Arabidopsis thaliana: one gene and its partners. The protein of the gene in region 1 interacts with the protein of each later gene in a pairwise test. Each region holds a gene or a part of one and is shown in the gene's direction. Other genes may lie near its edges.

What was found.
Region 2: the proteins of AT5G49420 (region 1) and AT5G27944 interact in a two-hybrid assay, tested with the Arabidopsis thaliana proteins (one large-scale study listed by BioGRID).
Region 3: the proteins of AT5G49420 (region 1) and SHN3 interact in a two-hybrid assay, tested with the Arabidopsis thaliana proteins (one large-scale study listed by BioGRID).
Region 4: the proteins of AT5G49420 (region 1) and AT5G59990 interact in a two-hybrid assay, tested with the Arabidopsis thaliana proteins (one large-scale study listed by BioGRID).

Annotation. Positions count from the first base shown.
Region 1 is NC_003076.8:20,032,740-20,038,483, reverse strand, and holds AT5G49420 (MADS-box transcription factor family protein), read left to right. Parts: upstream 1-2,278; 5' UTR 2,279-2,313; coding exon 2,314-3,318; 3' UTR 3,319-3,371; intron 3,372-3,568; 3' UTR 3,569-3,812; downstream 3,813-5,744. Other genes in the region: AT5G49430 (WD40/YVTN repeat and Bromo-WDR9-I-like domain-containing protein), read left to right, coding at 31-606, 814-872, 951-1,146; AT5G49410 (thiamine-phosphate synthase), read right to left, coding at 4,733-4,957, 5,371-5,583.
Region 2 is NC_003076.8:9,974,119-9,979,002, reverse strand, and holds AT5G27944 (MADS-box transcription factor family protein), read left to right. Parts: upstream 1-2,410; coding exon 2,411-3,085; downstream 3,086-4,884. Other genes in the region: AT5G27945 (Transducin/WD40 repeat-like superfamily protein), read right to left, coding at 1,402-2,314, 2,405-2,501, 2,720-2,996; WPP3 (WPP domain protein 3), read right to left, coding at 4,063-4,536.
Region 3 is NC_003076.8:8,817,828-8,823,942, forward strand, and holds SHN3 (Integrase-type DNA-binding superfamily protein), read left to right. Parts: upstream 1-2,630; 5' UTR 2,631-2,809; coding exon 2,810-2,889; intron 2,890-3,424; coding exon 3,425-3,914; 3' UTR 3,915-4,235; downstream 4,236-6,115. Other genes in the region: AT5G25400 (Nucleotide-sugar transporter family protein), read left to right, coding at 5,456-6,115.
Region 4 is NC_003076.8:24,149,231-24,155,903, reverse strand, and holds AT5G59990 (CCT motif family protein), read left to right. Parts: upstream 1-2,702; 5' UTR 2,703-2,819; coding exon 2,820-3,212; intron 3,213-3,471; coding exon 3,472-3,630; coding exon of another isoform or gene 3,631-3,642; exon of another isoform or gene 3,643-4,053; intron 4,054-4,524; coding exon 4,525-4,698; 3' UTR 4,699-4,970; downstream 4,971-6,673. Other genes in the region: GAF1 (Polymerase/histidinol phosphatase-like protein), read right to left, coding at 6,121-6,230, 6,326-6,673.

The DNA of each region.
Region 1 (5,744 bases):
TTATCTGCGGCTGTTACTCTTATCTTTCAGGGGCATCAAGAATACTTAAACTTTAGCTCCCTGAGGGAAGTGGCTCCTTGGACATCAATAAAAGGAGGAAATATAAAGGCTGTAGAAATTTGTAAAGTGGAAAGTCTTGAATATGCAACTCTGCCTGGTTCTGGGGATAGCTGCTGCAAAATGATACTTAAGGTCATCGATCCAAACTCCGAAGTGTTCAACAAAGCTTTCAAACTTACGTTGCCTGAAGTGGTGACGTTTCCAGATTTTCTTGTGGAAAGAAGTCGGTATGAAGCAGCAATACAGAGGAACTGGACTTGCAGGGACAAGTGTAAAGTTTGGTGGAGAGACGAAGGCGAAGAAGATGGTAGTTGGTGGGAAGGACGGATTCTAGCTGTGAAACCCAAATCACCTGATTTTCCTGATAGTCCGTGGGAGAGGTACACAGTTAAGTACAAGAGTGACCCTGCCGAGACACATCTTCACAGTCCCTGGGAGCTTTTTGATGCAGATACCAAGTGGGAGCAGCCTCACATTGATGATGAGCAACGAAACCGTTTGCTCTCGGCCTTAACAAAGTTAGAGACTTCAGACAAGAGAACCCAGGTATGTGATCCTAATGAATATAATATCTCATGGTGTTAAATCTAGCCTATCCTCCCCACCAAATTCAGACTTCACCCAAAGAGCTTAGGCCCATGTTTACATTAGCTTAGTTGGTTTATAGATCACATTCTAAAGCTTAGTGGATTAAGACACAACATTATCCCAAGAACTAACAATATTGATATAATGTGGGCTAATTTGTTTCAGGATTCTTTTGGCCTCCGAAAACTGAACCAGACCGTGGGAAATTCCAGCTACTCCAACAGGTAAATTTCTACAACCCTGGAAGAGTCTTTGGTGGAGCCAAAGCTGACATGGTTTTGTTCTATGGATTCATTCTGCAGGTTCCCAGTTCCTTTGTCTCTTGAAGTAATCAGATCAAGGCTTGAGAACAACTATTACCGAAGTGTGGAAGCATTACGACACGACGTATCAGTTATGTTGTCCAATGCAGAGACTTTCTTTGGTCGAAATAAAAGTGTAGCAGCCAAAATCTCAAATCTCTCTAACTGGTTCGACCGGACGCTACCTTCTTCGTAGCTTATCATCGCGCCTATGTAGATAAACTGATGTTTTTTTTTCTCATGTTTCCAAATTATTTAGTTAGGTTTCCTGCAATTCTTTAAAAACTCTGGTTCTAATGGCAGAAGAGAATTTTAGGGGATTTTTTTTCCTTCAGTTAGAAAATTTTAGGTTTAGGGTTTAGTTGGAGATAATCTTTTTCTTTTTGAAATTGTATGTAAAGAGAAATTGGAGGAGAGGTCAAAAACGTTTGATGCTTTGGAATCATCTTCTGTTGACTGACCAACCCCAAATTTGAGAATCATTTCTTTTTCTGCTAATGGTACAACAACAGATGAAATTGTTGACATTACATGTGCAAATATCCAGTCTACAATAGATGATCAAGACAAAAACAGTATAATTGCAAATATTTTTGACAAAAAATTGATGAATACTAAGAAACAACGTTTTTATAGAAAGTCTGGACGATTTGGTTGCTCTAGACAGTGGTAGTAAACTGAGTGATAGATATTGCTAGGTGTTTTTGAAACACTGTCAAGGTTAAGCTCCAATGAAATCAGTCAGTGATTATATGTTGATGACCCTCTCTCAAGGTTTGTTCTATAGTCACCAATTACAATTGTTTCTTCTTGGTATTGATATTTTGAGTTTTGTGTGTTTAGGATAGCTGATAGGCTTTTTTGTTAGTTTTATTTGATGGACTATTGTTTTTCAGTAGGTCTTTAACAAAGTTTTCTTCTGCTACCAGGTCACCTTTGTCAACTCCATAGCCACATTTTAAGGAGTGAAGAACCAGAAAGAATGAACACGATAATGTGAAGAACCAGCTATATATTTGTTTGTCTCTCTCATAATAATCTGACAAAATTTTTTTTGTAGAATCTAGCAAAATAATATTTTTTGAAAAATAAAAATATCTCCAAATAAATCTGAATCATAATACAATAACTAAAAATTATCAAAATAAAAATAAATAAGACTGCACTAAAAAAGGATTCTGGTGGATAGTTGGGCTTAGCCCATACAAGATTACGGTCCATGTGGTTTAATCGGTTTAGGTGGATGATATTGATATGGGGTTTCGATATTTCCCTTATATATATGAGACTGAGAGATAGAAGAAGCCTTCACTTTTCAATTATCTTTCTCCACACTCAACAAAATTGAGAAAAATCAATCAGAATGGTGAAAAAAGGTGGCACGAAGAGGAAGATTGCGATTGAGACGATACAGAAGAGAGATTCCCTTAGGGTTACCTGCACCAAACGCCGTGAAGGTCTCTATAGCAAAGCCTCTCAGCTTTGTCTTCTCTCAGACGCACAGATCGCTATCTTAGCGACTCCTCCTTCTTCTGAATCCAACGTATCCTTCTACTCTTTCGGTCACTCCTCTGTTGATGCCGTTGTCTCTGCTTTTCTCTCCGGACAACGTCCTGTTCCGAAGGATAACAAAGAGACGAGGGAGGACGTTGGTATCTGTTTGACTCGCAATAATCTAGGGTTAGGTTTTTGGTGGAACGACGAGAGCCTTGCCAGATCGGAGAATCCTCAAGAGATTAGTGAAGCGATCGACTCTATGCGGACGCTGTTGAGGAATCTCAAGGAATTGCGTGCGGATGAAGCTTTAGCCTGTAATCAAGCTTTCGTTAATGATCGCGAGGACCTGAAGAACAACGACAAGTGCGATTTTGTTTCAGACCACGAAACTCATGATCAAACCCTAATTCTTCAGTCCGCTTCTCCAATTTGTTGCATCCCAGAAAATCTCAACGAGATTACTCAAGAGCCAAATCAAACCCTAAATATTCAGTCGAGTACTTCTGCAATTTGTTGCGTCCCTGATAATTCACCTGAAAATTTCAATGAGATCACTGAAGAACAAGATCAGATTCGCTCGATTTGTGAAACTTTTTGTGTTATGGATAACAACGCTGCTTTACCTGAAATGAACCTGGATTACGATCAAGACATTGGCTTCGACACGCCTTTTGAGAGCGCGCTAAATGATTGGTTTTCGGACAACACTACTCATCAGGAGATTAGTGCAAGTATTTTGAACGCTGTTGTTGATGATCAAGTCTCGGTGGATCTAACTCCGTTTTCTTATTTTCAGAGATGTTTGGATGGAGATAATCTACGATTCTCTGATTGTTTCAAAGACTTTGCAAACACTATTTCAGCACTTTGAAGATAATTTCTCTGCAGTTTTCAAACTAACTTCTAGTTACTTCTTTATTATATGTATGTATTGATTCTGCTAATTTTGGTTACAGATATGTTTTAGCAATGTAATGAATGAAAGGGTCTGGTTTGACCTCGATCAGTTTTCCATACATATATGTATGAGGGAAATTGATCGAAATCAAACTGGTTCTCTGCTTCATCAGTTTGGTTTAATGATAATATTTGTCTTCTGTTTCTATGTTTTGTATTTGTAGTTTCAAGTCCAAACTCATGCGATGAGAACATGACCAAGGCAACCAAACCACTTGAACCACAAAAAGACGAGAAGCAGCTTGTACCGGAGGAAGCATTAATCGTTCTGGCGGGTCCTCTAACAAGATCAAAATCTAAGAAGTTCAACCAAGCTATCAATGGACTACTCAAGGAGCTAAAGAAGAATCAAGAAGACGTGACTCAATCCTCCTTCATAGTGATCACGGCTCAAGAGGCTCGGTAAAGGGTTAAGTGTTGCTTATGCATTCTTTTTCCCTTATCAAGTTTTGTCCCAATGGGTTTTCTTGACAAGGTTTTTAATGAGGCCTAAGGAACACTTTCAAGCCTCCCTTTATCAGCTCAATTCGTGGTCCAAGGCCCACTCACAATGCCGTGGCCCATTTTCTATTTTCTCTTCAAACTTTGCATTTATTGTTTTTGTTATTTCCAAAACTCTTTGCATGAGTGTGTACTTGTGCATGCTCTTGCATGTCTTTCTTCTCTCACCTCTTCCCCTTCTTCCTCCTCTCCTATATAAACTCATTGTAGTTCTCATTTGTAATCATCAAACATTTTAATCAAAAACTTTCTCTTTCACTTGTTTGATCTGAAAAGTGTGTAGTATCTTTTCAACTTGTTTTCTTCTTAGTGTGTAATATCTAAGTTGGATCCAAGCTCGTAGTCTAAGAGTCTTTCATCACTCTTGGAAGTACAATTCGTTCCCCTTTCATTCCGCTGCATCCACTCGATCTCGTCGCCATCCCCATTCATCGTCTTTCCACCGCTTTGATTAAGATCAATCCATTATTCACTATCAACTACATCATTTCCAATTCAAAACCAACAAAGTGAGTCCTTGGAGTATAGATCCACTTCCAGGAGTGTATCATCATGTCTTTTTAATATGACAACAGAATCAGGTGAAATTTCGATTATATACATAAAGTTAACCAACTGGTATGCAGTTGTATCATTTACACATTCTTCAACTGTAACAACATCAACTTTCATCTCATGTCTTTTCATATTCAATTGTCACGAGAATCTAGACAAGGAATCTTCAGATGCAGGCTACATATATGTGCTATTGATTTTACTAAGGTGATCATTAATAACTGTAAGAGGAAGATTCAAGAAACAAAGCCTTAAAACTTAACAGAGTCGGCTCAGGGAAGTTTAGGAGGGTGGCCAGAGGATTTTCCTGTGAGATTTTCCGGTGGTAACTTGGGGAATTTAGAAGAAGGGTTGTGTTTAGTGAACCAAGTAGTGTACAAGAATTGCTTGTGAGGACCAACATGGTTACATATCAGCTTCAGCTTCTGTCTCTCTCTCATCCACCTTAGTATTATCTTCATGTGACGCTTGCTCGTCAGCCCTCTTAATCCCACTTCCTGTTCAAAAACATTTATACCAATTATTATCAAATTGAAAACTACAGTTTTGTGCTGACTATCAATGGTGATGATACTTGCATAATCTCTGTTTGAAAGCTAACCAACAACGATTCCACTTCTCTAAGAGTTATCGTTACTTAACACATCACCAATTGGTTTTGAGACAGTGTCTATGAACCTTAACATTCTCTACCTATAGTTATAAAATTTCAGGTCCAAAACCTCTAACAAAGAAAGTGAAACCATCTAGTAATGTAGAAGAAGAGTATTATATCAAAATCGATTTTGAGATATCACTCTCTCTACCTTTGGAACAGATTTGAGAAACAATCATTCTACTTGTCAAAGTCAATCTAAAACCTCTAACAAAAGAAATGAAAAATGCATATGGTAATGTAAAAAGTCTATACCTTGACACGATCCCAAGTTTCAGCAATGGTTAGAGGTCCATGATCCTTCAAAATATCAAAGATCACTCGGGTTATCGTCTGAGTTTGCTCCGGTGGTGTGTTCAGCTCAATCGGTTTCATCTTGGGTTTTGGTTTTGTGGCGAAATGCCTTGTTAACATTCCAACTACATTGTGATCGCTACTGTTCCAAGGCATCATCATGTTCCGTAACATACTTTCACTTGTTTTCTCAGAAGCTATAAATGAAGATCACAAAACCAAAACTGTTATGATTAAAGTACCAACGAAATGGAGACGATTAAACCGTTATGTTCCTAAATAACACCTCTAGAGAATTCCTACGAAAAAAAATTCAAGAAGTTGAGGGATAGAGA
Region 2 (4,884 bases), about 10 Mb from region 1:
AAAATTTGAACTAGATTTTGGAAACTATTTAAAACAAAAAATATTTGACAAACCAAAATACAATTGCAATCCCTTAAAATGAGCAAAACTCACCTAAATACATTTCTTATCAGTTCATTAAATCTTATTTCTCCAATATTTGAACTAGATTTCGACAACTATTTAAAACAAAAATTTGTTTGACAAACTAAAATATAATTGCAATCCTGTAAAATATTTATTTAAATTAGCGGTGTACCGTGGATTTTTTTAACGGGACGGGTTTGACGGAACGAGTTTGAAAAGATGTTACTTAATAACAATTGTAAACTATAAAAAATATTTATTTTTATAGATAAATATAATTTGCAGACTTTTATATATACTAATTTAAAAAAATTAATTGTCTCTACGGTGTACCGCGGGTTATAATCTAATTAATATTAAAAATTTACTAATGATACTCTATGTACGTGCTCTTAGTTGCTTCACCGGTTTTGTCATAACCGGTTTTATTCAACAAAACCAGAATATTAAACATAGCTTATGGAAACCGATTCTAGATAACCCGACTTTGCGGTTTCATAAATCATTGGTTTGCCAATTATAAGAGAGATGACAAATGGAGCCTAGATTATTTCATCAAGCTATGAACTAATATTGTTTTGGATTCTAGAAAACGCAAAACTCGAACTGAACAAAAAGCAAGTGTCTTTATTCCAAGACCTACCATAAAAAGCAACACACAAATCCAGAAACACCACCAACACACAACCTCAAGCGTATTGATACGATCCATGTAAGGATGATGCCACGTCAGAAGAAGAATGTTGACTTGAATGATGACATGGACAAAGGCAAAGAAGAAGAGAAAGACTTGGGTGGAAACAGAGGCTTTGCTATTGAAGGGAATCGAGTATAAATTAGTCATTACTCACTCATTTCTGGTTTATGCTTTATGTTGAATGTGATAGTCGAGCGATGTGCTTGAGCCAAGCGATGTGCTTGAAGAGAGATCAATGTTAATCTCTGTTTTATCGTTCTGAGATTGTAAAGTGAGGTTAAGAGATCCTAAACCTTAACACGTATGTGTTAAAAAAAAGGACTTTGGTTCTGCAATGAAATCCAAAACAGAGCCTTTGATGGGGAAAATTCAATCTTTGAATCGGAAAGAGTTGTTCTTTCAACAACAAATTAAGCTTCAATAAGCATCAACATCACAGAGTTTTACATAAAAATCTCATAAAGAAATATATATACTATATTAGTTGTGTTTGACTCAACAGTTTACATATATAATTGGTTTTGTATTAACTATATAAAATTCATGAATAATGAATCAGGAAAAAAGATGAATACATTGCTTCTCTATACATTATTTACCTATCAATGGTTTTCTCCTTGTTAGTCTTCACAGTAGATTCACCTAATATGATTCACATGAGCAAATGGCTCCGTATATTTTTTTGAAGCAGCTTTCTTGGTGGTCTTAGGTGGTTCTCCAAAAACATTCCAAAGCCTGAGAGTCTCGTCACCTGCTGCTGAAGCCACGGTACAACCATCCGGACTCTGTGCCATAAAAAGAACTCTTGATGTATGACCATTGAGTTCAGCCATTTTCACCATAGATGGGTACTTCCAAAGTGTAAGCTGGTTCTGCGTAAACCCATGTGCGCTAAGCAACTCTCTTTCACTTTTGCTCCATAACAATGAACATACTTGAGAGCCAGTTTCTACTGAATTCAAGCAAGCCCCAGTGTGTGTATTCCAGAAGTTAATCTTCCCATCTCCAACACCACCACCAGTTGCAAGCAAACTTGCTTGGAAAGGGCACCACGCAAGAGCTCTCACTGCAGCAGTATGTTCCTCAAACCTATGCAGCCATTGCCTAGTTGGGTTTGAGGAAGCGAGAGAACGATCCCATATGTGTACTACATTGTCGTTACCACCACTTGCTAGTTTTTTTCCAGATTCTGACCACTTAAGACCACAAACCTCTTCAGTGTGACCCACGTAAGTTCCAATAATGGATGATCTGATCCTCACATCATTGTTGACGATCTTTCCATCCATTCCTCCAGTTGTTAGAATGTGATTGTTCCATGCCAATGATCCTACTCTTGACTCGTGACCACCTCTCAATGTTCTCACATGACGATTGGAAACACAATCCCAAACCTGGACTTCACTGTTGTCAAGACCAACTGCCAGATCAAGACCATCTTGCGTCCAGTTAATACTTGTGACAGGTCCATTCTCATCATCAATGGTCACAAGCTTAGATGTATAACAACTAGACGCATCCCACAAGTAAACAGTGTCTCCCAACTGTTCACTTAGGTATCCCAATTCTCTCGATCAGAGTTTATTTTCTCTTCTTTGATAACAAATAAAAGCGTCTTTTTGTTCTGTGTGTAAACAAAACATCACAATGTATTCTTCAATGTCGACGAAGAAGAAAACCAAATTGTCTGTGAGAAACCAAACTTGCTTCAAGAAATCGTCTCTGTCTTCTTCTTCCACTGCAAAAAAGACCACGAATTTGTCTATGAGAGAACAGACCATGTTTAAGAAAGCCTTGGAGCTTTCGACTCTCTGCGACATCGAAGTCTGTGTCATACTTTATGGTCGTGACGGAGAACTCATCAAGACATGGCCGGAAGATCAATCAAAAGTTCGAGACATGGCTGAGAGGTTTAGCAGATTACACGAGAGAGAGCGATGCAAGAAAAGGACAAACCTTTCTCTGTTTCTACGTAAGAAGATCCTCGACGACAATAAATTGTCTGAGAAAGTCTTAGAGATGGAGGATTCGTTAGAAAGTGGTCTACGGGTACTGCAAAATAAGCTTCTGTTACTCCAACCCGAGAAAAACCAGACCAAGTTAGGTCAGAGCCGTGCGGTTTCTTCCACAACGAATCTATTGTCTTCTCCTGAGAATCACCATAATCAACAATGGACAGAACCATTGGAGAATGGTGTGTCAAACACAGAGCAAGAGCTATCGACTTCATCATTGAGTCAACATCAGAGCAAATATTCTGTCTTTCTTTATAACCATGACAACGGAAGCTTCTATCAAGTCCCTGACTCGATCTGTTTCTAGTTTAGATTATGAGTTTTAATTGTCTGATTGGTATGGTTTTCCTAAGTATTATGAATGCAATTCTCAATTCTATTTTTGTCTGAGTCTATATTAAGAGCTTTAATACAGTATACAATAAACGCTGAATGTTAGATGTCCATAATTGACGCAAATAAGCAACTAATTGAGTAATCGATCGATGCGATGAACTCAAAAACTGTAGTTTTCGGTTCAATTCTGTGAATGGAATTCAGTGGAGCAAAGTTGTTTTGAAAGAGAAGCGATTAACTCAAAACCTGTAGTGCAAGACAAGAGGACACAGTTTTATGTGTCAGATGCTCTAGTGGCAGCTTCCGTCAAAAGATGTTGTTAAAAGTAGTGCTGTGTCCAATAGGTGGAAACACTCTGGCTCTGTTGGATTTAGATGCCAATGGTGAATTTCCAGATTACAATGCCTTGTGAGTTTCAGATTAAAATTCTTCCAAGCCCTAACAATGAAGATTTGTTCAAGAGATCTCCTAACTCTCCTCTAACAAACCATACGTTTGTTACACACACATCAATACATAACTTGTGCAATACTCTTCTATCTATTTATATACAACTCACTAGACTCTCAAGCTAGTGGTTAAACAATCTGTTTCTCCTTGCTCTGTTTTCACTCTGTTTCTCTGCTTCTCTTTGCTTATTCACGAGCCTCAACGAATCCGTTTGAGCTATCAACGTGCCTCCTAGCCTTAATCATAATTTTAAGTTTACAAGGATTATTCATAACCTAATGAGGGAAGTTGCATAGAGTTACTGGTGGTGGACGAAAGAAATTGAACATTATATAGGAATAATAAGTGTGATACTAAACCACATAATGCAAAAGCAATCAACGACTCATATTAAGAAGAAGGAAACAAATCTGGTTTGAGAATCTCAAATCTAGCAAAAGCAAACCCTAGAGATAGATCATAAAAGAGATAAGGAAACTTAACGCTCAAGCTTCTCCTCTAAATCAGCAACTGCATCATCTTTATTGTTTGATTTAGTAGTAGTTCCATACTTCCATTGGCTTTGAATCGAACCTCCGCAGATTCAATCATACGCTCGCTAGTCTCTATGCCATAGACCTCAAGATTCTTAATCCCATCACTCGACACGAACCTTGATGCGATGTCGTAAGCCTTTTCCTCTATAGATTTCGCGACGGCGGAGGCTTCCTCAGGTTTAATCGTTCCGTATTTGTAGGAGAGGATCGAGTCTGTGGATAAGGTCTTGATCATACTATTCACCACGTAGTCGCGACTTTTCTGACACGGTGGCCAAACGCTGAACAAGATTCCTCCAGATTTCTCTTCTTTCGTCACCTCTGATGTTGCGTCAGATCTGTGTTTTTGGAGGCAACTTGTCTCGTCTGATCTGCTTTCTAATTGTGGCTGCGGCGTTGAGACGGTGGTGTTGATTGTATCGGCGGTTTCTGCCATTTTTTCAGTTGAAATTAGGGTTTCTCAAGAGAGTCTTTTGCGTCGGAAGAATTATTGAAAGTTGTTTAGTGCTATAGTTATATATATAAAACAATCCATCAATATAATTTAATTATATTGTGAAAATATAAATCTGGAAAATTCCCAAACTAATTTAAAATTCGCCTTCAAAAAACTAAACTAATTTATTAGTGACAAAATAAAACTTGAATTATAAAATATTGATAGATTCATACACACAATCTCAAACAAACAAATAATTCCAGTTTTACTTTTAAAGACAAAACTTAATTCTATTTGTTTGAAACTTAAAAAAATTCTCATTTACTTTATATATTTTTACTTGAT
Region 3 (6,115 bases), about 11 Mb from region 1:
CAGTAAAAAAATGTTATAGATTTTTGTAGACTCATTAATAAAAGCAAGTGTTCATGCGCCATTGTATATTTATTTAGTTTTGGTTACCAAGTGATGTTCCAGTGGTAATTACATTCCATTGGGCCCAAATAAACTTCACAATAAACAAATATGAAAAACCTTTTGTTTCTTGTTCAAGAAACTCGACCTAAGCAATACCAGATTCTCTAAAACAATACAAACTGGGTTTTCTCTCTTATGCCAACCTTTTCCTGTCTTGAGTGAAAAGCCTAGTTGATACCCATTTAAACAAAGATCTATAAAGACAAAATTTGTTGAAAACTTGGCTTTCCATTAACAAGTAATTATTTCTTTCACAATATCATACTAAAGATGAATTATACGTATATTTGTCGTAAATAAACGGAGCGATATATCATAGAGAAATATCCTAAAATAGCACTCAAACAAGTTTAATGGACAATTAAAATAACATTGTCCACAAATTTGTAAAATTAGCTTTAGTGAATTTACTCAGTAACTATTTTATAATTATATAAATTAACAAAATTAATTACAATTTGAAATCACGATTAATTTACAAACAATCGTGTGAAACGTCAATCGAATGTTAATAACTTTATATTAGTTTTTTACTATGAATTTGTGTTTTTTTAGAGTTTTAGAGATTGTGTGTTAAATTTAGTAACAAACTTACTTTCATGCTATTTATGAGAATTGCATATTTCTAGACCAATTTTTTATTATTATAATTCATATAATTATTCTTGAATTATTTATGTGCTATTTGTGAGAATTACCAATTTCTAGACCAATATTTTATTATTATTCATATAATTAAACGTTTATTGAATTATTTTAGCTCTAAAAAATATAATGAAATTTAGAATTGTTATAGAAACTTTAAATGACTCAAAACTGATCTTTGTTTTTTTGTCAACCACACATTAATTAAAAACTGATCTTTGTTAAACATCTAAATATTGAAAAACAAAAGGATTACCACCGCACCTATCCTGCATCGTCTTGTACCATTTGCATTCATCAGAGCCATTATATATTCATGTGGCTGTCACATCCTTATATACATTTCAACTTATAAATTTAATTTTGTACGTTTAGCAGATGTTGGTGAATTCATTTATTCAAGCTTAAGGTTTAACTCGTTCTTGTCTCCTTTAGGTTCATAACATTTAATGGACAACAACTACTCCAAATATCCGTGGACTTTACCACGCGACGCACCGACAATTCTCTAGCCTTTTCATTAATTGATCAGTAAAAACACTTCTATAATTTTAATTATTCTCAGAAATTTTAACCGGTAGTAACATAAACGTAGATGATCGAAAAAGATGAAATCGAGGTCTCTGTTTTGTGTCGAATTAATAGATCTATAAGAAATCAAACAATGAAAATTAAATAGATGAATGAAATATGTTTTGACGACGTTTTCACGTCACTGTTTAAGTTATCTGTTAGTAAAATTTGATAGCATTTAATTTGAATTGCTATGTAACTCGGAATAAATTCGACGGCAAGAGGTGTGGGATGTGATCAGTCTTCTAATTAAGTGTAATCTTTACAAAAAATCAGTATGAGTTAATACAGGTTTATAAATAGAAAGACATCTACAGTAAAACCTCTATAAATTAATAATGTTGGGACTGCAAAATTTTATTAATTTAGAAAGATTTTAATTTATCGATAAATTAATATTTATTAATTTATAGAGAGATTTTCGTAATTTAGTAACTTTTCAAAAATTTCTATAAAATTTTTTTCATTATAGAAAATATCTTTCAAAAATCAATTACAAGTAAATAATAATATCATGTTTAGAAAACAACACCAAAAGTTTTTGATAAAGTAAAATACTATAACTAAATTTAAATAAGAATAAATACAAATTTTAAGCAAAAAAATATTAGAATTATATTTCAAAATAATTTCTTACATATAATGTATATATAGTTGATATATTTATAAAATTATTAATTTATGATATTGATGGGACCATATATTTACATAAGATTTTTTAAAAAGTTATTATCTTATTAATTTATCGATTTGTGTCACTTTTTACACTGATCCCAACTCGGGACTGGAAGAATTTATTAATTTATAGAGGTTATTAATTTATCGAGTATTAATTTATAGAGGTTTAACTGTATATGAATAATTGAATACACATGGGACATCATTATAGTTACCTTAGTACGATTTTATGCATTTGGTTACCAAAATCCACTAGGCTTCGTAATTGGTTGTGGGTCAGTGTCCATTCGATAGTTTGCATTAGCGATAAACACTTAAAACAGTAAAACGTGATCTATTTTTAAACAATAACATTTCTTCTTATCAAATATTCACATAATTAATGAAGAAAAGAGACGAATTGATAGGCAATAAGAAATATGATCACTTGGTACCATTGTATGCATGGTATGAACTGACATCAAGTATTTGTACGTTGTAGGGTAATTATTAACATTGTAGAATGACAAGTATGATCAAATGGAAAAGGATTAGTTATATGTAGCAAAACTAGTATTTGTACTTGGACTATCTTGTCATGTAGTTTTCCTAACGCTATATATAATCCAATAACCCCATGACACGGAAGAGATAGGGGACATACAATAAATATCAGTAGAGAGGACGTGGGAAAAGCAGAGAGTTAAGTGAGTAGTTGGAGATAGAAAGATCAGAGACGAGGAATCTCTCTCCCACTCTCACTTTCTCTCCTATTCTTAGTTCGTGTCAGAAACACACAGAGAAATTAAGAACCCTAATTTAAAACAGAAGAATGGTACATTCGAAGAAGTTCCGAGGTGTCCGCCAGCGTCAGTGGGGTTCTTGGGTTTCTGAGATTCGTCATCCTCTCTTGTCAGTTCTCTCTCCCTCTCTATCTATTAATAGAGACAACAGTATAAATCTGTTTATGCAAGTCCATGCTATGAGTTAAGTTTACATTTTTGGTGTACGTGTAGGGCAGTTTTCTGATCATTGATTATATTTTCGAAGATTCATGCAAAGCTCTTATAATATCATGCATTTTTGTTTAAGTCGTTTTCCTTATTTTTTTCCAATTAAAAAACCCACGTTTATTAACATATACATATGTTGAGTATTTGTACTTTTTGTGTTGTATTTTGAAATTTTGAGTGTACATAAATTTAAATGCTTTGTCATATAATTGATACTGATGTATTTTCTATGTCTTAGTTGGATTATAGAAAATCATATAGCAAAGAATTGGGAAGGAACGAACACTACTCACTATAAACTTTCCTCAAAAAGAAAACGACCCAATTTATTATCAGTAACAATTTATAACAAATTTGTTGTGTGTTTGTTTTAGTACTTTGAAGTTTGAATAAAATGTGTGTTTTTTGCTTACGTAACTTATGTGAGCTATCAGGAAGAGAAGAGTGTGGCTAGGAACATTCGACACGGCGGAAACAGCGGCTAGAGCCTACGACCAAGCCGCGGTTCTAATGAACGGCCAGAGCGCGAAGACTAACTTCCCCGTCATCAAATCGAACGGTTCAAATTCCTTGGAGATTAACTCTGCGTTAAGGTCTCCCAAATCATTATCGGAACTATTGAACGCTAAGCTAAGGAAGAACTGTAAAGACCAGACACCGTATCTGACGTGTCTCCGCCTCGACAACGACAGCTCACACATCGGCGTCTGGCAGAAACGCGCCGGGTCAAAAACGAGTCCAAACTGGGTCAAGCTTGTTGAACTAGGTGACAAAGTTAACGCACGTCCCGGTGGTGATATTGAGACTAATAAGATGAAGGTACGAAACGAAGACGTTCAGGAAGATGATCAAATGGCGATGCAGATGATCGAGGAGTTGCTTAACTGGACCTGTCCTGGATCTGGATCCATTGCACAGGTCTAAAGGAGAATCATTGAATTATATGATCAAGATAATAATATAGTTGAGGGTTAATAATAATCGAGGGTAAGTAATTTACGTGTAGCTAATAATTAATATAATTTTCGAACATATATATGAATATATGATAGCTCTAGAAATGAGTACGTATATATACGTAAACATTTTTCCTCAAATATAGTATATGTGTTGTGATTCTAAGACTTGTAAACTGATATGGCCTACTGTTTAAAGAGTAGTTGATATTTTCTATTGAATTTGTGGACATGATATAATTACAGGAGATTAGTATAGTAGTCATTATGATACTTATGAAGGTACAAGTGGTAGGATGATAATTAATTAGTTTAATAAAGAATAATGAACATTAAATGTGAAAGAGATTTGCCACTTTTGTTAAACACATCTGCGAATCAGATTCTTGTGATTCGAATGTTAGTCCTACCTAGATTAAGAAAGGTTTTACTATTTTAACATGTTTACCTGGTTTGGGTAAAGTTCATGTCCTGTCCTATTCCGTCTTGTCCCGATCATGATAAACTTTATGAGCAATTCTTATAGAATTTTATTTTAAAATACTGATTTTTGATATTCAATTTTATTTGATTATTTTTTACTTAGGCATGTGATAAAGGCGATTTTGACTTAGTTTCACATACAAGTTTAAGTAAATTATCTTACATAACAAAAGAGATTCAAGTAAATAAATCTAAGCGGGCTAAAATTAATCAACTAGCTCAAGTTGAAACATTTTATCAAGTGAACCTCTTCCAAGTCTAGATAGCATCTCAAGTTTATATATGATATCATATCATGGACACACTTTGGATTTTGGATATTTTGTGTCGATGTTTAAACATCTTGTTTAGATATAAGGAGAGCATCTATTTTGACATAAATATTTAATAGGTTAAGTTGACGAATTTTGATATTTTGGATATTTTGATGCGGTAGGGTTATTTTATTATTTTTATTCTATTTTGACTGAGACGATTATATATAGATTACCGGCAATATTTTTGTTTTTTGGATACTTAAAATATAAATACTGTTATATATGTCTTCTAGATATTTTATATGAGAGGTCTAATAAGTTTTAAAAATACATAAATATGTAACTAATTAAATATTCATGTTATATCGAATAAAAATATTAGTATTCAACCGCACTATATCATTTATGTAAACATTGTTTCTCAAAAATGATTTAAAATCTTAAAACGGACACAAACACCAGGTATAAAGTTTTAACTAGTTATATTGGCTGGTTTAGAGTTAAATTACATTTTGTTAGTTCAGAATTTGACTGGTTTGGTCGTTTTAAAATTTAATTAATTTCGCTATTATTCTTTTTATTTTATTTTATTTATAACCGAAAACAATTATAAATTGGTGAATCACTTCCGTTACGTGTGAGTCTCTCTCTTTTAGTAAACTCTGAAAACGTTTTTTCAGGATCTCACCAAAATTCACAAACTTCGGAGAATACACCACCGTCTCCGCCGCAGAACCACCGTCGTAAGAGAGGCAAAAACATCACGAATATGGGTAAAGGTGGATCACTAAGCGAAGGCGTGATTAAGAACATAATCATCTCCTACACATACGTAGCAATATGGATCTTCCTAAGCTTCACCGTCATCGTCTACAACAAATATATCCTCGACAAGAAGATGTACGATTGGCCATTCCCGATCTCACTCACAATGATCCACATGTCCTTTTGCTCAACCCTAGCTTTTCTTCTCATCAAGGTCTTCAAATTTGTCGAACCGGTCTCAATGTCACGTGACACTTATCTCAGATCCGTCGTCCCGATCGGAGCCTTGTATTCACTCTCTCTTTGGCTCTCTAACTCAGCCTACATTTACCTCTCGGTCTCCTTCATTCAGATGCTCAAAGCGTTAATGCCAGTCGCCGTTTATTCAATTGGCGTGCTCTTCAAGAAAGAGGGTTTCAAATCTGAGACGATGATGAACATGCTTTCGATCTCATTTGGTGTAGCCATTGCTGCTTATGGCGAAGCTAGATTCGATGTTTGGGGTGTGATTCTCCAGCTTGGTGCTGTTGCTTTCGAGGCGACTCGTTTGGTAATGATTCAGATCTTGCTTACTTCTAAAGGAATCACTTTGAATCCTATCACTTCTCTTTATTACGTTGCTCCTTGCTGCTTAGCTTTCTTGTTTATCCCTTGGATTGTCGTG
Region 4 (6,673 bases), 4.1 Mb from region 1:
CACTATTTATTAAAAACAAAAAGAACAATTCTTATTGGATCGTTAAAACTCGAAACTAGTTATGAACCAACCATAGCATGAAACGTTTTGTTTTTGGTACATTATGCTACAAAGTTTACCACCAAATAGAAAAAGTCTTCGTTACCATCGATTGATCTATAGATTTTGCTTTTGCATGACCTTTCCCATCAACTTGTGGCTATTTTGCCCTTAAGGATACACAAAATGTCTTTCTAATTAGTCCCATAGTACATCTATCCACTGTTGGAATCGAGATCCTATGTCCTCGTAACGATTGCGAATTATTATTTATGTCTCTACATTATGTGGGGCAACTTTGTTTTAAGTTTTGAAATGTCTTCAACGTTCCCTAAAAAATGTTTGCAAAACACAGCTAGTATATTTAGAAATTACAATAAGAGTGGTGGATACGGAACAAACACAAATCGACATTAATGTTTGTACGTTGACGATAAAAAGAAGAGTAATCGATAAAAAAAAACTATAGATAATCCCAATAGATGATGGTTTAGTGTTGTTTGAAAATACTCTCTCAAAATGAGATTTACAGCTCTCTTCCTACTAATTGACCTGTTTAGAGGAGACTAATTTACATGCTCTAGTTTCCGGCGCATAAAAAATGAAAGTTTGTGTTAATCAAAGAAAAAAAATATAACTAATTTTTATTTCGTTGATTCTAATGGACCTACATTCCGATCCTCTTAAGTGAAAAAGATGCTTTCGTACCCCATAAATAAAATAAAATTATATATTTGGCTTAGAGAAGTGATATCGACGAGAAAAAATTCTTCAAATAAATTTATCGACGGACCCATATTGTATATATAGAATGTAATGGAGAAGAACAATCATTTCCCCTAATACAAGGGAAGATTGTATACACATTTCAGGAGGAAGACTATCTAAGTTAGTGCACTTTTGTTAATTTTGGTTCAAATTTAGGTTTTAGATGTAACAAATTTGATTTTTCATTTTTGGTTCGGTTTGTTACCATCATCCAAATGAAATATTTTGGATACATATAGATATATAATCATTTTAGTTTAAACTTGGATTGGACTGAATTAGATAAATATAATCAATATCATCTAGTAGTAATAATGTGATATGTGGGTTAATTTTTCTACTAAACAAACACCACGAGTTGGGTTGATATTATGTATCCTCATTATGGAGTGAGGCTTAAACAGGAAATTATAAGTTGTTTTGTTCTTAAATGAGTGATTATGTATTATGTATGATGATGATGATGAGTAGGCCAATTTAGTGACTGACTACAACGTGTTCCTACAATATATTGGTATATATGCAGTGATCCTACTATTCGAATTTCGTTCTTGGAATGTAACTAATCGTAAACAAAATATCTATAAAAAAAAACAATATTTATATACTTTACCGTAGGGGTAGCTATGTATAACTCGTTTGAGATATTCTCTCGATATGTTACCTAAATCGATTTGATTCCAAACAAAAAATTCTGGCTAATTAACCTGACTAATCATGGATTGGAACAGATATACAATTCATATACAGAGCAGTACTATCGTGTCTTGTCTGGTTAATTATCCGGACCGGACTAAACACCCGTTTAATGTGAACATAACCAAAGCAATCAAGTATCTGAGCTTAATTAATTATTACTGTTGATTAAGTTAATGATTAATTAGGCAAAAAAGTAGATTTGTATGCTGCTCACATGGGTTTGCGTGAAATAATGCTTTTAACCATCTTTTTGTCTCTCCTATACAATTCGAGCTAAAAAGCTAAGTCGTGTCCTTTATTTTATTTTATTTTTCTTTACATTGTTCTTTTGCTGTTATGATTTATGAATGTTGCACGAGATGTTATCTATCTACTATTTTAAAACACAATTGTATATTTTTTTTCGTCAAGGACTTGAAGTTAAAACACAATTGCTTACGAAAATATCAGTAAATTTACTGTTTCAAGAAATGATTATGCCTTCCATTTTACAACAATTATCGTTGTGAAATTCTTAATACATTAAAAAATGTTATAACGCCATTTAGTTTGAAACGTAAATGTGTTAAAGAGATTGAAAAAAAAGAAAGAGTTTACTAATTATAAAATTCAATATAATAACAATTTTTTTGAAATTCAATATAATTAGTATTTTTTTTTTTGAATACCAAGAGGTTTTGGACTGAAACCCGTAATCCCTCCGTACCCGAAACTACAGCATATAATATTACTTTTGTTCTAAACGTCATTCGAACTGGCGATCTCTAAGTTTCGTCTAGGGTTTTTACTAATTGAATTAACAACACTTGGTTATAATTAGTAATTATTTGTCACTAGCTTTCTTCCTCTGTATTTATAATTGATAGCATATTAATCAGTAACCTATATATAAGTAAGTATATTTGAATTTTTGTTTTTAGTAGTAGTTCTATTTTTAATGAAAACATTTTTAAACCTAAATGAAAAAATAATTATCATTTTTGTTCAACTATCCAAATTCACCTTCGTATAATACATGTCGGATTCAATTTCGTGTAATATATGTCGTTTGAAGAATAACGGGTGAGAGTGAGATAGAAGCGACCTGAAAACGAAAGGCAACTCTTTTTATACCTAAAGATTCCTTTTTTCCTAGTCAGTCAAAAGAAGTCAACGGTTAAGTCAGTTGACTTCAGATGACGATTAATGACGTCAGCATCAGTCCTTCCTCTGTTAAATAGAAACCAAACCACTTCGAGTTTCACTCACTCACACACACACACATAAACAAACACACAAAGACACATAAACACCACAATAAACTAAAACCCACCATGTGTGGACACGTCAGCACTTCTATAACCTCCGGCGACAACTGTCCATGTTTTCTATACTCCGACGACATAGTGGCTCCTCCTCAGCTGCTTGATCATCATCATCATCAGTTCCCGCCTCCGCCTTTGGCGCTTCTTATGATGAGCCAAAACTCTCTATACGCGGCCGAGGCGGTTTCAGGGTTCGGTTACTTTGATTCCGGCATGAACGGTGGTGGTGGAAGCAGCAGCTGCGACTCGCCAAGCTCTATGGGGAGTGGCGGAGAGAGTCTTGTTATGCAGAGGAGTGTTAGTAGCCATAATGGCTTTTCCGGTAATTACACAGCGGCCCATGATTTCGTTAACGATGATGATGGGCCAGTGAGACGGGCCCTTAGCGCCGGAGATCTACCCGTAAGTAATATTATATACACACTTGCAGTTTCGAGATTTCAAACGTTAACTTTTATGTTTTCGTTTACGTATGAAATTTTTCACATTTTATAAAACGAAACATTATATTGTTGGTTTGTTTTATGGTTTTGCAAGAGTGTAAAATGAAAACACCAAAACACAAATAAATTATCTAAACATACTAAAATTTGGGGTTTTATTTGAAAATAATAATAATTCTATCATAACATAAGACGACACTGTTTTGGTATGTGTGTAGAGGAGTAGCAGAAGAGAGAGCAGTACGGTGTGGAGTGAGAGCAATGCAATAATAGAAGGAATGAGCAAAGCCTACAAGTATAGTCCTGAGGAGAAGAAAGAAAAGATCGAGAAATATCGTAGCAAACGAAACCTTAGGAATTTCAACAAGAGGATTAAGGTAATTTTATAAATGTTTTACAGTTGTTTCTTTGTTCTAAACTGTTTGTTAGCATAAATTCTTATATCTTATTTTAACATATAAGAATTTATCATTTGATTCATATTGTTCTTCATCACATAGAGTCCATGTACACCTAACCTATATTATATATTCAACATGTGTATATATGTGTCGCATGGAAAACTTTTGAGGACTTGACATGTACAGTAGTTGTATGGAACAGTGACATGCACCTTCACATATATTGATGCAACCATTTTCTAATCAAGCATACAATTTCCTATAAATTTCTTCATTAATCAACTAATAATGATTTCTGTATAATTTCATACACAAGAGCATATATAAATGTCTATTTTCTTAAAATCAAATGTATAAGATATCTTTTCTTAGTAATACTGTTTTTTTTTCACATTTAATACAAAACTAAATGGTTCGTTGACCAAAAAAAAAAAAAAAAACAGGCTCAATGTATCATATCAATCACTCTTATCACTAAAAAGTAACATTGAATTTTTCTTTTCAATCTTATCTTCAAACATAAATAGAATTTCATCTGATATATATGAGTATGTGAACGAGAATTAATGTTCTGTCACATCATATTTGGGTCTAAGGAATCCTTTGAGATAGACACATCAAGCTCCAAGGTTGCTACAAGTTTTTTTCTCCATTAGTTTTTTCTTACAAGAAGGTCCACAAATATATTTCATTGCTAATTAAAGATCGGATTGGAGTATTCATGTACTAACATATTCAAACCGTATCTCAATGAGATATTTCTGCTCGCGTTATAATTTTTTGACCGACAAGTTTTGACTTGTGAATGATCTAAAAACTATCACAATACTTTGGGACAGGTTTAATAATAATCTTTTATCTTTCTATTAGTACGAATGCAGGAAGACATTAGCGGACAGTAGGCCAAGAATAAGAGGGAGATTTGCAAGAAATGATGAGATCTCACAACAAGAACAAGTTGATGTTATGGAAGCCGTGGTAGGAGATGTCGACACGTGGGCATCTTTTCTTGATTCTTTCTCTGCTAATCACTTCCTCAACTAATTTAATCTCTTCTATGTTTGTTTTTCTTATATATGTTTATATATGGCACTTTAATTTGTTTTGGTTTAAAAGATTTCCCCATGTTGCTAAACTCATGTGTAGGTTTTGTGTTATCTTTGTATATAAGAATAACATATCTTGTATTTTTGATCTGAGATATTTGCAAACTAATCCTTTTTCACTGGCCATACAATTCTGCATGAGTGGTATATGCCACTTTGTCAATTGACGATTGCAATTGTCTTAGCATGGCACTGAGTTCTATAAGTGAGATAAATGGGGTTTTAGATAGGTTAAAGGCAAAACAAAACGATATTCACCTATTGAGAACAAAGTGGATTTGAGATAAAACGTCGTCGCCGTATTAGATCCGTCATTTAAATTCGGTAGTCCATAAGTGAGTTGCAAACGATATACATAAAACAATTAAAAATATCGAACTCCAACTAAAACAAATTGATTACACATCGTTAATGTATATGGACCCTTAAATAGTTAATGTATAGTTTAGTATGTTCCTTAATGGTCTGATTTTTCTTTTACCAACTTGATTTACAAAAGTATTTAGAAAGTACAAAGATGATAACTTTTAGCATTGAAAAACATATAATGAACACATGGCCATGTTACTTTGATGATTTCATAATACTCTCACGTTGATTACACATCGTGCTAAGTACTAGCAATCTCCAAAGGTAAACATATATTATATACCTTAAGAATTCTTAAGATATCAAAGAAGCTTCCACTCAAATAAACTAACTTAAAGTAATCAACCCATACATTCATTCTCATAAGTCAGTATATAAAAAAAGCTAGAGGAAAACATACTAGCAATTATTTTTGCCAAAAAAAAAAGCTATGGAAAAGTTTCTCAGCACTTTTGATATTTTGCAAGAAAAAATGTTACTTTGATTGTAAGACTATATTATTTTCCAACAGTAACAAAAATCATTTATTTTTATTTAAAAGTGAAAATAATTTGAATGTTAGGCATCTTTAGTAATAAGAGAATAATTTTTCTCACAAGTAGGTAATTAGTAATAATGTGAAGAATAATGCTTCTCAATTAGATTATAAATAAAGTAGTTTTGAAAAAGGAAAGAGAGCAGTCTTTCTTCTTTAGCAATGGCTATGGAGGGAGATGTAGGCCCTCCGGCGACATTGTCCCCGACTTTTGTCGGCCGGCGGTAGATTTACCGACTCCTCCACTCTTAAATCTTTTTAACTTTTTTTTTTCCTTTTTAATATTTTAACTAAAAGCCTTTTTCTTGAACACGAGTACACAAAGAATCAACTCTAGAGAATAAATTAGATTCTTTCTTTCCCCCATTTTATAATCGGTTCAAAAATGAAACCACGAGACTTGCGTGGGTATAAATTAATGGACAAAACTTGTACTTATAAGAATGATCAAGCTCTTCAATGTTTTCTTTTTTTACTGATCCTTTTGAACCTTGATTGAAGTAGAAAAGGCTTGAAAGGCCTTAGTTGCGGTAAACGAACTCTACTCCTCTTAGCTTGCGTCTTACCTACATTATGGATTGATATAACATTAGACTGAAATCTATACTCCAAACTTATGTGTTAGGTTAGATTTGCAAATGAGGAAACTTAGATCTCGTACCTGATTTTGTGTCATTGTTATTTTCAGAGGATTGGACTTGGGCTTGGTGACTAGCTTCGGTTTCAGTCTTTTCAACCTTCTCGTCTTCAATTGTTAACTCTTCGACCTTATTGTCTTCCATTGTTATCTCAAAGGTGTTGTGGTTTGGAACTGATGCCTCTTCCTCGAGCTTTGTCTCATCGGACTCTAGTCTTGATGCTTCGTCATGGTCTTGCACAACCGCATCTGGACTGAGAGATTTACCTGATTCACTTAGCAAATCGGTAGTCTCAGAGGATAAGTTAGGAAGAATAATCTTACTGTCACCTGTTTCATGCATCTGGTCTTCCATTGTGACCTCCATGTACT